Linked DNA regions of Caenorhabditis elegans. The protein of the gene in region 1 interacts with the protein of each later gene in a pairwise test. Each region holds a gene or a part of one and is shown in the gene's direction. Other genes may lie near its edges. The genes, in order: eif-3.D, pals-17 and cpl-1.

Region 1 (4,021 bases):
CGTGGGTTCCTTCCATTCAGAGAAATCAAAATCACACCAATTGAGTGAGCGAACTGTTGCTTGATTGTTGTTGGCTGACGAATCTACAATTTAGATTCTAAATATTTTTAAATTTGAAATACGGAAGGAGTCGATTTTATTTCTCAAAAAATACCTTCAGTATCACTCTTCAGATCGTTTTTCGCAATATTCTCTTCTAAAAGATTCAGCACATTATCATCATAATCAGTGAGCGTCACACAACAATCATTCATTTTTGCAATTGCAATTCCACTAACACCACATCCTGACCCGAGTTCTAATATTCGATTGTACTCGGAGGGAATCAAGCGAAAAAGATTGGCGAGATCACAAGAAGCTTGCCAAACTGATAAGCCAGTTGTACCCATTGATAGTTGATTTACAGCTTCCGAGAATTTCGCTAGAACTTTGTCGCCTCCATCGGTTAGGTAAACCTGAAAATATGAAATTATTTCCATTTGAGCTGACGAATTGTTTAAAAACTTACTCTTTCCACATATTCTCCTTCTTTCATTCCCATTAGAGAACCAAGCCTGTCGAACATTGAATCAGGAACAACAACATTATTGGCTTGAAGTTCAGAAATCAAGTTTTTAAGAACATTTATTTGAAATTTGTAACGAATTTCATGCGATGTGACAATTTCATTATTGAAGACATTGTTGCAAAGATTCTCAGCATATTCCGAATCTTTTATGCATTGTTCTACAATATCCTTCATTAGCTGATCCGGAATTTTTGAAGCGCTACAATAAAATCTTTTGAACTGGAGTTCAGTTGTCTCCTTTTCTGAGTGGACCATCCCGCTCAGTTCTCCGTTTTCTTGACATTTTGTGAAAATTTTGCGTTTTCGTTCTGACTGAATAAGCGGTATCAGGAGGAAGGTATTCGGGTCTTGCATGTGGAATTCCGTAGTGTTCTGCTTGAACGATTCGCTGCTCCGCTTGATAGATTAGTTTGCCAATCACTATTGGGTCTTTTTCCTGAAAAATCCCATATAATTAGTTTCCACATCAATATTGAGAACGAGAATACCTGCTGGTGCTCTCGGAAAGCCTGACGAGCTTCAGTGATAATTTGTTGTCTCTCAACTACAGTATTTGTTTCTTCTTTTGCTTTCCAATTCTTGCCCAATTTTAAAATCTGTCGATAGAGCTGAATGACTCGAATACTTTGTGGCACTGTATTCATCAAGGTGGACCCGTTTCTGGAATTATATTCTGATTATGCGAGGAAATTTGGAGAAAACAAATAAAAACCAAAAATTGAGGTGGCGTCAAGTGGCGAATGTTGGCGCGTTTCGTGTACCTTGCGCATTTCTCGATTAAACATTTTTATTTTTACACGCGTTCTTGTCGGATTTTTCACATTTTTATACGATTTTCTGATTAATTTTTCTGTTTTGTGAATTATATAAATTCATGAAAGTCTTGTAACTATATTTTAAATGCTCTCGAATGTTATTGTTCCATTTCCATTTCTTTTGTCGTTGCTATCGTTTGGCCTAAAATTGCATTTCAACACTATTTTATATTTATTTCAGGTATGGCTCTACCAAAGTTTGAACTGTTGTCATTGGCTGATAATACAGTCGGATGGGGTCCATTGGCGTCGAGTTCCTCTGCTGATGAGCCTGTTCCATTCCAACAATTCAACAAGGCTGATCGCATCGGACGTGTTGCCGACTGGATTGGTGTTGATAGATTCTATAGAAGAGGAAATGAGAGGTTTTTATACAACAAATGAGTGGTATCGTTAAAACTTGAAATTTAGATACAATGAGCGTGTCTATGGATCCGCCGCCAACGCTGGAAGTCAGTTCGATTACATTCATGGAATGGATGAGCATAACTTCCAACTTGTTGACACTTCTAAACCAATGGCTCGCAATCCACAGCGCAACTTCCGTGTCCGCCAAATGCATCTTCGTAAGATGATGCAGAAAGAAAATGAGAAGCGTGAGATGGTGAACCAGTCAACGAATTTGAGAATGAAGAGAAGTATCGCCAAGGAGCAACAACGTGCCTTCAAGATGTGGCAACGTCGTGGAGGAAATGCTCGTCAAGGACAACGCGGACAAGGTGGTCGATTCGGAGGTGATCGGCCGAAGGAACGTCTTCCATCTGTTCAAGTTAGACCGGAATGGGTTGTTCTTGAAGAAATGAATCTTAGTGCGTTTTCCAAACTTGCTCTTCCTAACATCCCAGGAGGAGACGACATTGGGGATCACCAGTATGGAAGTCTTCAATACTATGACAAGACTATTGATCGCGTTTCTGTGAAAAATTCTATTCCGCTTCAAAGATGCGCTGGCGTGTTCTACAATGTCACCACAACGGAAGATCCTGTAATTCAAGAACTTGCTCAAGGTGGTGCTGGAAATGTTTTCGGAACAGACATAATTCTTGCTACTTTGATGACTGCTCCTCGTTCGGTCTACTCGTGGGACATTGTTGCCTACAGAGTCGGAGACAAACTTTTCTTCGATAAGAGAAACACTAGAGATATTTTGAATCCAGTTGAGACCCTTACTGTTTCCGAGACTAGTGCCGAACCACCATCATTCGACGGAAATGGTATCAACAATGCCAAGGATCTTGCGACCGAGGCATTCTACATTAACCAAAACTTCCGTCGTCAAGTCGTCAAGAGAAACGACGCAGGATTCACCTTCAAGAATGCTCGTGCTCCATTCGAAGACGAGGAGACTGGAGAGTCAGGAACTGCTTACAAGTAGGATTTTCGTTTAAAATTTTGATCTTTAATTAAACAATTTTTAGATACCGTAAGTGGAATCTTGGAAACGGAGTTGATGGAAAACCAGTTGAGTTGGTTTGCCGTACAGAATTGGATGGAGTTATTCACGGACTCGGAAATGAGACTCAGACTCTTACAATCAAGGCATTCAACGAATGGGATAGCACACAATCTGGAGGTGTCGACTGGAGAACAAAGCTTGATGTTCAAAAGGGAGCCGTAATGGCCACCGAAATCAAGAACAACTCAGCTAAGGTTGCAAAGTGGACTCTGCAAGCACTTCTTGCCGGTTCCGACACAATGAAGCTCGGATATGTGTCTCGTAACAATGCACGCAGCACACAAAATCATTCTATTCTACTCACCCAATACGTAAAGCCAACGGAGTTTGCTAGCAACATCGCCTTGAACATGGATAACTGCTGGGGAATTCTTAGATGCGTCATTGACAGGTAAGAACGAGCACATCCAGACTGGTAATCAATTTTTTCCAGTTGTATGAAGCAAAAACCAGGAAAGTACTTGTTGATGAAGGATCCACAATCTCCGGTTATCCGCCTTTATTCGCTTCCAGAAGGAACTTTCGAAAGCGAGCGCGAGAGCTCCGACGAGGAGAACTCGGATGACGATCAATAAAGTCCCCGGTTTCTGACAATTTCTTGTATTCGCTTTTCTAATTATTGTCTCTTGTTAATTAAACTTGGTTCTGATAAGATAAACTTTATTCAAAATATCATTCAACATTGGGATTTAATCGCAGCGTGCAAACCGGTAATTTGGAAAGAATCAAGCCCGCATAGTTCATTGGAAATCGCAGTAAGTTCTGGAGAAGCGTTGTCCTTCTTGAAGTAGTCGTCTCCAAGCTCAACATCGACGAGGCAAATCCTAAATTTCAACATTTTGAAATTTTTTAATTATGCATTTTTTAGAACTTACACAATGAAAAGAGCAATAACGATAGAATTAATTTCTCTCTTTGTCCAGCCAGTGATATTTTCCGAATCGAGTTGGAATGTCGAAGCTACTCGACTGAGAATATCACGACGAGTTGGAGTTAAATGTAAACGTGCTTCCAAATCCATCCAGCTGTAATTTCAAAATTAATATTTAAAATTGCTAGATAAACTCACTGATTCCTAATAGAATGCAGGAAAATATTCAATCTCTTCTCTTTCACATTGTACTTATCAAGATTCGGCAAATTGACCAATTTCTCCGCGTCCACCTTTTTACCGGACAAAAA
Region 2 (3,583 bases), 7.6 Mb from region 1:
TTAAATTCAAAAACAAGCTGTGAGGAGTGTGCTGTTTTATTTATCATTTTCAGTACTGTACAACCTAAAAATTCAATTTTCATAGCGCAATGGCACAAAATAACAGCAATTGGAAGCATTTTGAGAAACATAAATAGGATGTACATTGAAATAGAACAAATATGCACTATTTTTCTGTGAAATCTAAAAATTACTATACTTTGATAGTACTAAGATGCATTTTACAAAATAGGAGACCCATAATGTTTGTTTTATTTCCGATAAATACCCTGCCATTAGATATTTTTTGAAAATTCAAAAAAAAAAACGAAATATGCGTTCTTTGTATTTTCTGAACTAAAAACTGCAACCATATATTCAAAAAATCTACTGGAATGTGTTTTTCTGATAAATATTTCCTTATTCTCCCAAAAATATCGATGAAAAACAGGAAAAACACTTTCAAAGTTTCACTTTTGATTCAGAATGCAAGCGCGCCCCACTGCACACTTCAGGATTCTCATTGGTTAAAAATTCGTGCCCTAGGTTGCTGTGCGGAACAAAAACGAGAGAGACGACGATAAAGTGGAGCAAAAAGGAGAAAAAAAGAAAAAAAATTATGTTATCTACACATTTCATTTTCCTTAAAAGGGTTGTTATCACTTGAAAAAGTTTCCTGCACCTACGTCATTTTTCTACTCTTTTCGGATGTTCATATATTGCTTCAAAATTCTCATGTGTGAAAAATAGGGGATTTAAAAATTTTCCATGACTTCTGGTCGTGACGTTTTCTTTTATATTCTTAGTAATAGTACCGAGTACTATAATTTAAGACAATAAACTAGGACTGCTTAAAGGTCTAGTCCCTCTAGTGGGGTACAGTTTAAACAATTATTCTTTGAAGTATACTTTTTTGGAAAATCCCCGGAAAATGCAAAAATCGGGACCCAACATATTATCCGCCGACATCTCACGAGTTTCGCGGCTTGCTGTGTTTACCGTGACAGTTACTACGCCCTCATCGTCTTACGTTGCTGACGGCGTGCCGCACTGTCACGGTAAACGCAACGGGGTGCAAAACTCGTGAGATGTCGGCCGCTGATATTTTTTGGGTCCAGATTTTCGCATTTTCCCATGAATTTCCGAAAAATTTTTGCTCAAGACATTTTTGAATGTCTTACAACTTGAAAGGATTGTTTCGTTCCTTTCTAAATTAGTTGTTAGTTCCCAAAGTGTTCTCACTGGTAGATCATGCATAACGCGAGCCAGAAGCCAACGCACTGTCCTCCGGTAGCCACGGAAAGGTAGAACTTGGAGAAATTCCGTCAACTAATAAGTTTGCAGATTCGTAGTCTAAAACACACATACAAGTGTGATTCATTTTCTTACCATTATCAAAACAAAGCAGTGAGCACCCGTCATGTAGTGACATTGATTCAATACATTACTACATAATTATAGACCTTTCATAATACTCCCAGTTGGTTGCTCTGTCTTTATTTTTAGTACATTTTATAGACAACTAGCATGAACTTTTGAAACTTACTTGCGACCTCCTCAATGTTCATTTTCGAAACAAAACGTTTCAGTTATGAAATTTTCTAACGAAACTTCTTGAGCATAAAAGTACTAGTAACTCTCACACACGTCCGTTTTTTGGAATTTAGTGCCTCGTTTTTTCCAAATTTAACTTACAGAACCACCTCGCCAAAAATGAATTTTTCATCAAAGTTTTCTAGTGAAAAGTCTATCAGTGGTTTGTTCCTTTGACCAAGTCAAAATTGTAAAATTAAGTTTTCAGCTCAACAAAGCAACCTGCTGAGAAGAACATTTTCGGAAGGAAAAGAAATGTAAAACCCATAAGTCTCAAAAGTCTAAATAATGCTTTTCACCCTTCAGACAGTTTTTTATGGAGAGGCAAGGCGATTTTGCTAGACCAGAGCAGTCAAACCTTAACTACATGGAACCTGAATATTATGAGTTTAAGGTATATTTTATTTTGAGAATATATAATAATACTTACAGTTTCAACTTTTAGCCCGGAAACAGGAAGTTATATTCAAACAAAAATGGAGCATTCCAGAAAACAAGGGAAGAGGAAATGCTAAAAAATTTTGAGGATGAAAGGTTAGTGTTTTTATAGACGGCGTGCTATTTGACATATACGGCCTTCAAACTTACAGGCCAGTGCCAGGTAAAACAGATTTGGAACTTGCGTTTTTTCACAAATATGCATAGTTCACCACTCCCTGGTCTAACCAAAGTCCGCCTAACAGATCTTGCACACTTACTGAACAATTCGAATATATTGTTAGATTATTCCTAAAACAGCTCACCTTTTACGCGTTGCTTTTGAATATAGCTCATTATTATCAACACTATTGGATATTTTACAAATAGTCTTACCAGTCCAATTGTGAAGTATTTATTGCTACCCTTAAAGTAAAACCATACTTTGTAATTTTAACAGGGAACATTTGGAGCAGGAACACAACTTGAAAATTCACAAATTAGAGAATAAGAGGAAAAACTACATTGCTTTTCTAAAGCTCAAGAACAGAAACGAAGCTATGAGGTTATTTTCAAAAATGGTCCGTTTACTGCGTGAAATTGAGAAGGACGTGGACAATGCAGTGGAAAATGGTATTTCGGATGAGTTGTTCTCCGATAGCATAGAACGCCAAATTCAACAATTTGAGGAAGAAACTGAGTACTTTGAAAGTTTTATGATAAGATCTAGCTACATTGATGCGGATATATTTGAAAAGTTATCGGTATGTACAATTTATTGATTCAGTAAACATTTATTTAAATTACAGGACCAAGTTCTCAAAATGGGAGAACTTGTTAACTACTCGAATCTCCGATCTTTGTGCGTTCATTACCAAATAGCTTGTAGCAATAACGATGCCGAGAGAGTGGAGCTGTACAAGGATGATCTGAGAAACTTTCATCTCGATTTACAGGAAATGGCTGATATTTGTTCGGATTTTAATGTATAATGAAGAATATCTTTTTGTTTTTTTTTGTAAACAATTACCGACTTTTTATCTGAAAACTTACCTAATATGGTCTTAAATAAAGATCTTTAACGTGTTGTTTACATACATATGCCGTATTTTCCACCAAGGTCTTCATGCAAGACTAGTTTGACTGTGTTGTAGGGAACTATTTCAAAGTTTCAGATAAGTTATTGATGTTTTAATGAAACAATCATGTTAAATTTGTTTCGACTAAAACTAATACGTCACTTGAGTATTCGCACCACATTTTTTGATTTTTCAAATAGAGAGTTATGGAAACGCAGAAAATTGAAGAGAAGTAGTTGCTTATCAACACTTCTACAAGGTGATACATTTCAGTCGGCTGTACAATCGTCATCAAAGTTTATCACCCAGAATGGATACCATAACTGATAACAGTTCTAGGAGCATATGTATATAAAAGTCGATGACAGAAAATAGGGTTCTCACTTTGGAAAATTTATCCTAATAGTAAGATATTGTCGTATTATTTTTTGTTTTTTTTAATTTATCATAGTTTGTAAGCCAAACTTTTTGGTTAAAAATGTCTCATCTACCGGTGCCATTGAATTATTTTTGCA
Region 3 (4,853 bases), on another chromosome or scaffold:
AAATTGGCGGCATTTTTATTTCTTCCATGTTTAGAATTGTATGAACTTATGAAATTCTATTGAAAAATACGTAACGATTTTCCTTTCCCGTCTGAAATTTAAATTTTTATGTGAACACGTCTCAAAATCTGAATTTCTTATGGGAAAATATCTGAAGTTTCAATTTTTTTTTATTTGAAAATAAATTAAATTCATTTTTTTACGATTTTTTAGGTGCTGAAACTTTGAATTTTGTATCGAAAAATGTCTGAAAGTGAGAACTTCCAATTATAATTTTTCTTACATTTTTCTTGTTAGTTAGTTGAATTTTGAGTTTTTAAATTACTGAATTTCGAAATTCACGTGCTGAAAGTTATAAAAAACTTCATACGAGTTACAGCATTTTTTGAGATTTTGAAATTTCCAAATTTCGAAATCTCTTTTTTTCCCTATTTCCCCAAGATTAAACAATTGTCGATTTCAAAAAATTGCTTAGAACATCTCAAGTCTGCCATTCCCCACTCCAAAAAAAAAACAGGTTCCCATTATCATTCCTTATTCCCGTAGATTATCTCACCGTCTTCACCAGGTATCTTATCAATAGCTGGATGATTATGTAATTTCTTGCTGATGACATTTATTTTCTCGTTTTTCATTCCTAAGTTTTTTGTTTGGAAATCCTTTAGAATGCGAAACAATTTATTTACATTGTTGGCCACCTGTTAAAGTGACCTAATTGTTTGTTTGTTTTCTGTCCTTTTTCCCCCTGTTTTTTCAAAGTTAATTTTAAAAAACTTGACTCACTTTGTAGTTTGACCTTTGCTAAAAAAGCAGCCGACATCAGTCAAGGACCACTTATAAAATTTTGAGACATTGCTTTTTGGGGCCCAAAATCGTTAAAAACTACCGAATTTCGTAATGAAAAGTTTTGAAAATTTCTGGAAAAAAAACCGAAAAAAAAGTTCATACTTCAAAAAGAGCAAAATTTGATGGAAGTTTCTGTTCCTAACGTCAATAAAACAGTAGAAATTGACACAAATTGCTGGAATTTTGCGGTTAAACTCCAATAATTGACACTTTTAAAAGGCGAACAATTTTCTCGGTTTTGGAAACATTTCTAGCAAAACTGGTAGTTTTCTAAACTTTGGGGGCACTACAAACTACAAAAACCTTAATTTTCTGTATGTTCAATACTTCAAGAAGTTCGGAAACTTCCGCTCGAAAACTTCCGTTTTTCGAAACACTTATCCCTGATCACATGCTTATCTGACTTAACCCTATTATGATAATCATCCAATTTCTGTACTATTCTGAGCTCCTAGCACCGGAGCAAGCACTTTCACCCCTAATTTCCCTCTATTATCAGTTGACTGATAACCTGATGGTTTGATCGCTCTCTGTTTCTCTCCGCCTCTCCATCTCTCTCCTCACACTCGTCCTGGCACTGATTGACGCTGTCCCCGCCTACTTTAGGATCCTTCATAAACTCGCCTCGGGAGGTGTTCATTGTAGTTCCTATTCCATTTCCATATTTTTTCGTGTTTCCCCTGCTTTTTGTAGAATTTTCAAATTAATTTTAAATGTTATAAAATTCCAGAATGAACCGATTCATTCTTCTGGCACTGGTTGCCGCCGTCGTCGCCGTCAATTCGGCCAAGCTGTCCCGTCAAATCGAGTCGGCCATCGAGAAATGGGACGACTATAAGGAGGACTTTGATAAGGAGTACTCGGAGAGCGAGGAGCAGACCTATATGGAGGCATTTGTCAAGAATATGATCCATATTGAGAATCACAACAGAGATCACCGACTCGGAAGAAAGACATTCGAGATGGGATTGAATCATATTGCTGACTTGGTAAGAATATGCATTTCAATGCACCATGAGCTGCGGCGTCCGACGTTTTGAGCTCCGGGGACTCAAATTCTGGCTCCGAGGACCGAAGTCTCTAGCTCCAGGGTCCCAAGTTTTGAGCTGCGGGGTTTCAAAATTCAAGCTCCGGTTCTTAAGTAACGAGCTCCGGGATCACAATTTTTGAGCCCAAGGATCTCAAGTTTGGAGCTCCGGAGTCCCAAGTTCCTAAAGCGAGGATTTTCAAGTTTTCCTTTTTTGCATTTCCTAATTTCGACAGATAAGAAAATAAATACCCCCTATAAAAACTTCAAAAAGCTGTTCTCTGTCTCGTTCCACTATCAAAATCTCACCCAGCGAGAAAAAAAAAGATAAAGATATGAAATCCTCGTCTCGTGACTGACCAACAGCTGGCTTATCACACCACCACACTGACAAAACACACGAAGGTCATTTGATTTTCAAACTCTTGTTTTTTTCAGCCATTCAGCCAATACCGCAAACTCAACGGTTACAGACGTCTCTTCGGTGACTCCAGAATCAAGAACTCCTCCTCTTTCTTGGCTCCATTCAATGTTCAGGTAATTTTTTGAGAGGGGTTTTGTTGGGGTCCAGACACTAACTTTCTCGTCGATCAAAACTATAAAACTATTTGCATAAACAAAAACGTTTTCAACGACCGATAAAAATAATTCTTCGCTGACCGTATTTTTTGAATTATCATCTCTGATGATTGATACGCTTGAAAATTGAATTTCGCAATGTTTTGGTCACCGAAATGTTTAAAAACAAGATTCAAATGGTTAGAACTGTTTTTGCTGAAATTTGAACACCAGAGCTTAGAGCTGTGATGAACTTCTAGGGGATAAGCCTAAGCCTGAGCTTCAGTCTAAGCCTAAATCTAAGCCTACGTCTAAGTGTACGCCTAAGCTTAAGCCTCAGCCTAAGCCTCAGCCTAAGCCTAAGCCTAGGCTTGAAACTGATTGTGAGTTGATGGATTTGGCTCAGTCCAGGAAGAAGTTTGGTCTATGCCTAAGCCTTAGCATAAGCTTGAGCTTCCCAAGCTTTCGGCTAAACCAAACCCTCAGCTTAAACTCAAGCCTAAACCTATTCAATTTTCAGGTCCCAGATGAGGTTGACTGGCGTGATACCCACCTCGTCACTGATGTCAAGAACCAAGGAATGTGCGGATCGTGCTGGGCCTTCTCCGCCACCGGAGCCCTCGAAGGACAACACGCTCGCAAGCTGGGACAACTCGTCTCCCTTTCCGAGCAAAACCTCGTCGACTGCTCTACCAAGTACGGAAACCACGGATGCAACGGAGGACTCATGGATCAAGCTTTCGAGTACATTCGTGACAACCATGGTGTCGACACCGAGGAGTCATACCCATACAAGGGACGTGACATGAAGTGTCACTTCAACAAGAAGACCGTCGGAGCTGATGATAAGGGATACGTTGACACCCCAGAAGGAGATGAGGAGCAACTTAAGATCGCTGTCGCCACCCAAGGACCAATCTCTATTGCTATCGACGCCGGACACCGCAGCTTCCAACTTTACAAGAAGGGTATGTTTTGTGGGAAGATGTGAGGGGGGGGGGGGTACTAGTTTTTATTGACGGGTCAGTTTTATTTGCATTTTGGATGATAATGATAAGAAAGCTAGTTACTCGGGTTTTTCATCAGAGACAGAGAGGGCAATAGTGATAAGAGAACTCGTGTTTTTGAATGATACCCTCTTGACAATAATAGTTTGGGTTCGAACTTGAATGTGAAAGTGGTGAAGGAATTTATAAATTGTTTAGTAGCAAAGTATAACCCCATCAGCCTAGGCCAAAGTCTAAGCTTAAGCTTACGATTAAGCCTAAGCCTAAGCCTAAGCTTACGCCTAAGCCTAAGCCTACGCCTAAGACTAAGCCTAAACCTAAGCGAAAGCCTAAGCCTAAGCCTGAGCCTAAGCTTAAGCCTAAGCCTGAGTCTAAGCCGTAGCTCAAGACTAAGCCTGAGTCTAATCCCAAGCCTAGCTCATAAGCCTAAGCTTAAACAAATGCCTAAACCAAAGCCTAAGCCTAGGCCTAAAACTAGGCCTACAGCATAAACTCAGCCTAAGTTCCACCGAATATCATCCATTTTCAGGAGTCTACTACGATGAGGAATGCTCATCCGAAGAGCTCGACCACGGAGTGCTTCTCGTCGGATACGGAACCGACCCAGAGCACGGAGACTACTGGATTGTCAAGAACTCGTGGGGAGCTGGATGGGGAGAGAAGGGATACATCCGTATCGCCCGTAACCGCAACAATCACTGCGGAGTCGCCACCAAGGCCAGTTATCCATTGGTCTAAATTTGAACTTAATAATTAATTTTTTTTTTTGGAAAATTTAATTGTAGCCCCGAATTGCAATTCTTTGACTCTTTTCTGTCAAGCTTTACCTCGTTTTCTGTATTTTTTTGGAATTTCTCTAATATCTATAATTATGTATTTCAAATTGTGGTGTACATAAACGATTTTTGAATTTAGTTTTGCATTTTTCTGTCTTAAAAACAAGTGAGGAAATAGTAAGAGCATATAATTAGCTCGTAACAAATTTGAATTATAGTTTTCGTTTTCGCTTTTAATTCAGACACCAAGTTGTGACGTCCTTTTTAGCGTGTCTACGCCCCTGCCTGCTTGCCTAGTCAATCAAAGTCCCCCACGAAAAATTAAATAAACATTGCAAAGCAGCGGTTGTCGATTGTTAACCCTCTCTCATTACAAACATTTGCCGCCGCTGTACACCGCGGTTCCATGGTGTAGCGGTTAGCACTCAGGACTCTGAATCCTGCGACCCGAGTTCAAATCTCGGTGGGACCTATGCTCTTTTTTCGCAGTTTCTAACCTCAGAAAGTAGACTGATGTTCTTTCCCAAGGGGTTCAATTTGCACGTATTTTTCAATAATTATCCACCTCTTTACTTTTTCCCCTCGAATTCATTCTATGCGTGTTATTCATCGAGCTATAAGTTTCCCTGCCTCTCAAAT

The links.
Region 2: the proteins of eif-3.D (region 1) and pals-17 interact in a two-hybrid assay, tested with the Caenorhabditis elegans proteins (one large-scale study listed by BioGRID).
Region 3: the proteins of eif-3.D (region 1) and cpl-1 interact in a two-hybrid assay, tested with the Caenorhabditis elegans proteins (one large-scale study listed by BioGRID).

The regions. Positions count from the first base shown.
Region 1 is NC_003281.10:8,969,122-8,973,142, reverse strand, and holds eif-3.D (Eukaryotic translation initiation factor 3 subunit D), read left to right. Parts: upstream 1-1,564; 5' UTR 1,565-1,566; coding exon 1,567-1,748; intron 1,749-1,794; coding exon 1,795-2,754; intron 2,755-2,801; coding exon 2,802-3,230; intron 3,231-3,272; coding exon 3,273-3,414; 3' UTR 3,415-3,508; downstream 3,509-4,021. Other genes in the region: R08D7.4 (Complex1_LYR_dom domain-containing protein), read right to left, coding at 1-83, 155-455, 509-922; Putative RNA polymerase II subunit B1 CTD phosphatase rpap-2, read right to left, coding at 3,516-3,663, 3,715-3,864, 3,909-4,021.
Region 2 is NC_003281.10:1,389,944-1,393,526, reverse strand, and holds pals-17 (Protein containing ALS2cr12 (ALS2CR12) signature), read left to right. Parts: upstream 1-1,674; 5' UTR 1,675-1,692; coding exon 1,693-1,735; intron 1,736-1,780; coding exon 1,781-1,829; intron 1,830-1,878; coding exon 1,879-1,966; intron 1,967-2,017; coding exon 2,018-2,106; intron 2,107-2,449; coding exon 2,450-2,753; intron 2,754-2,798; coding exon 2,799-2,981; 3' UTR 2,982-3,077; downstream 3,078-3,583.
Region 3 is NC_003283.11:16,592,070-16,596,922, reverse strand, and holds cpl-1 (Cathepsin L-like), read left to right. Parts: upstream 1-1,576; 5' UTR 1,577-1,577; coding exon 1,578-1,835; intron 1,836-2,311; coding exon 2,312-2,410; intron 2,411-2,951; coding exon 2,952-3,399; intron 3,400-3,967; coding exon 3,968-4,176; 3' UTR 4,177-4,351; downstream 4,352-4,853. UniProt on the Caenorhabditis elegans protein: Cysteine protease which plays an essential role in the degradation of proteins in lysosomes.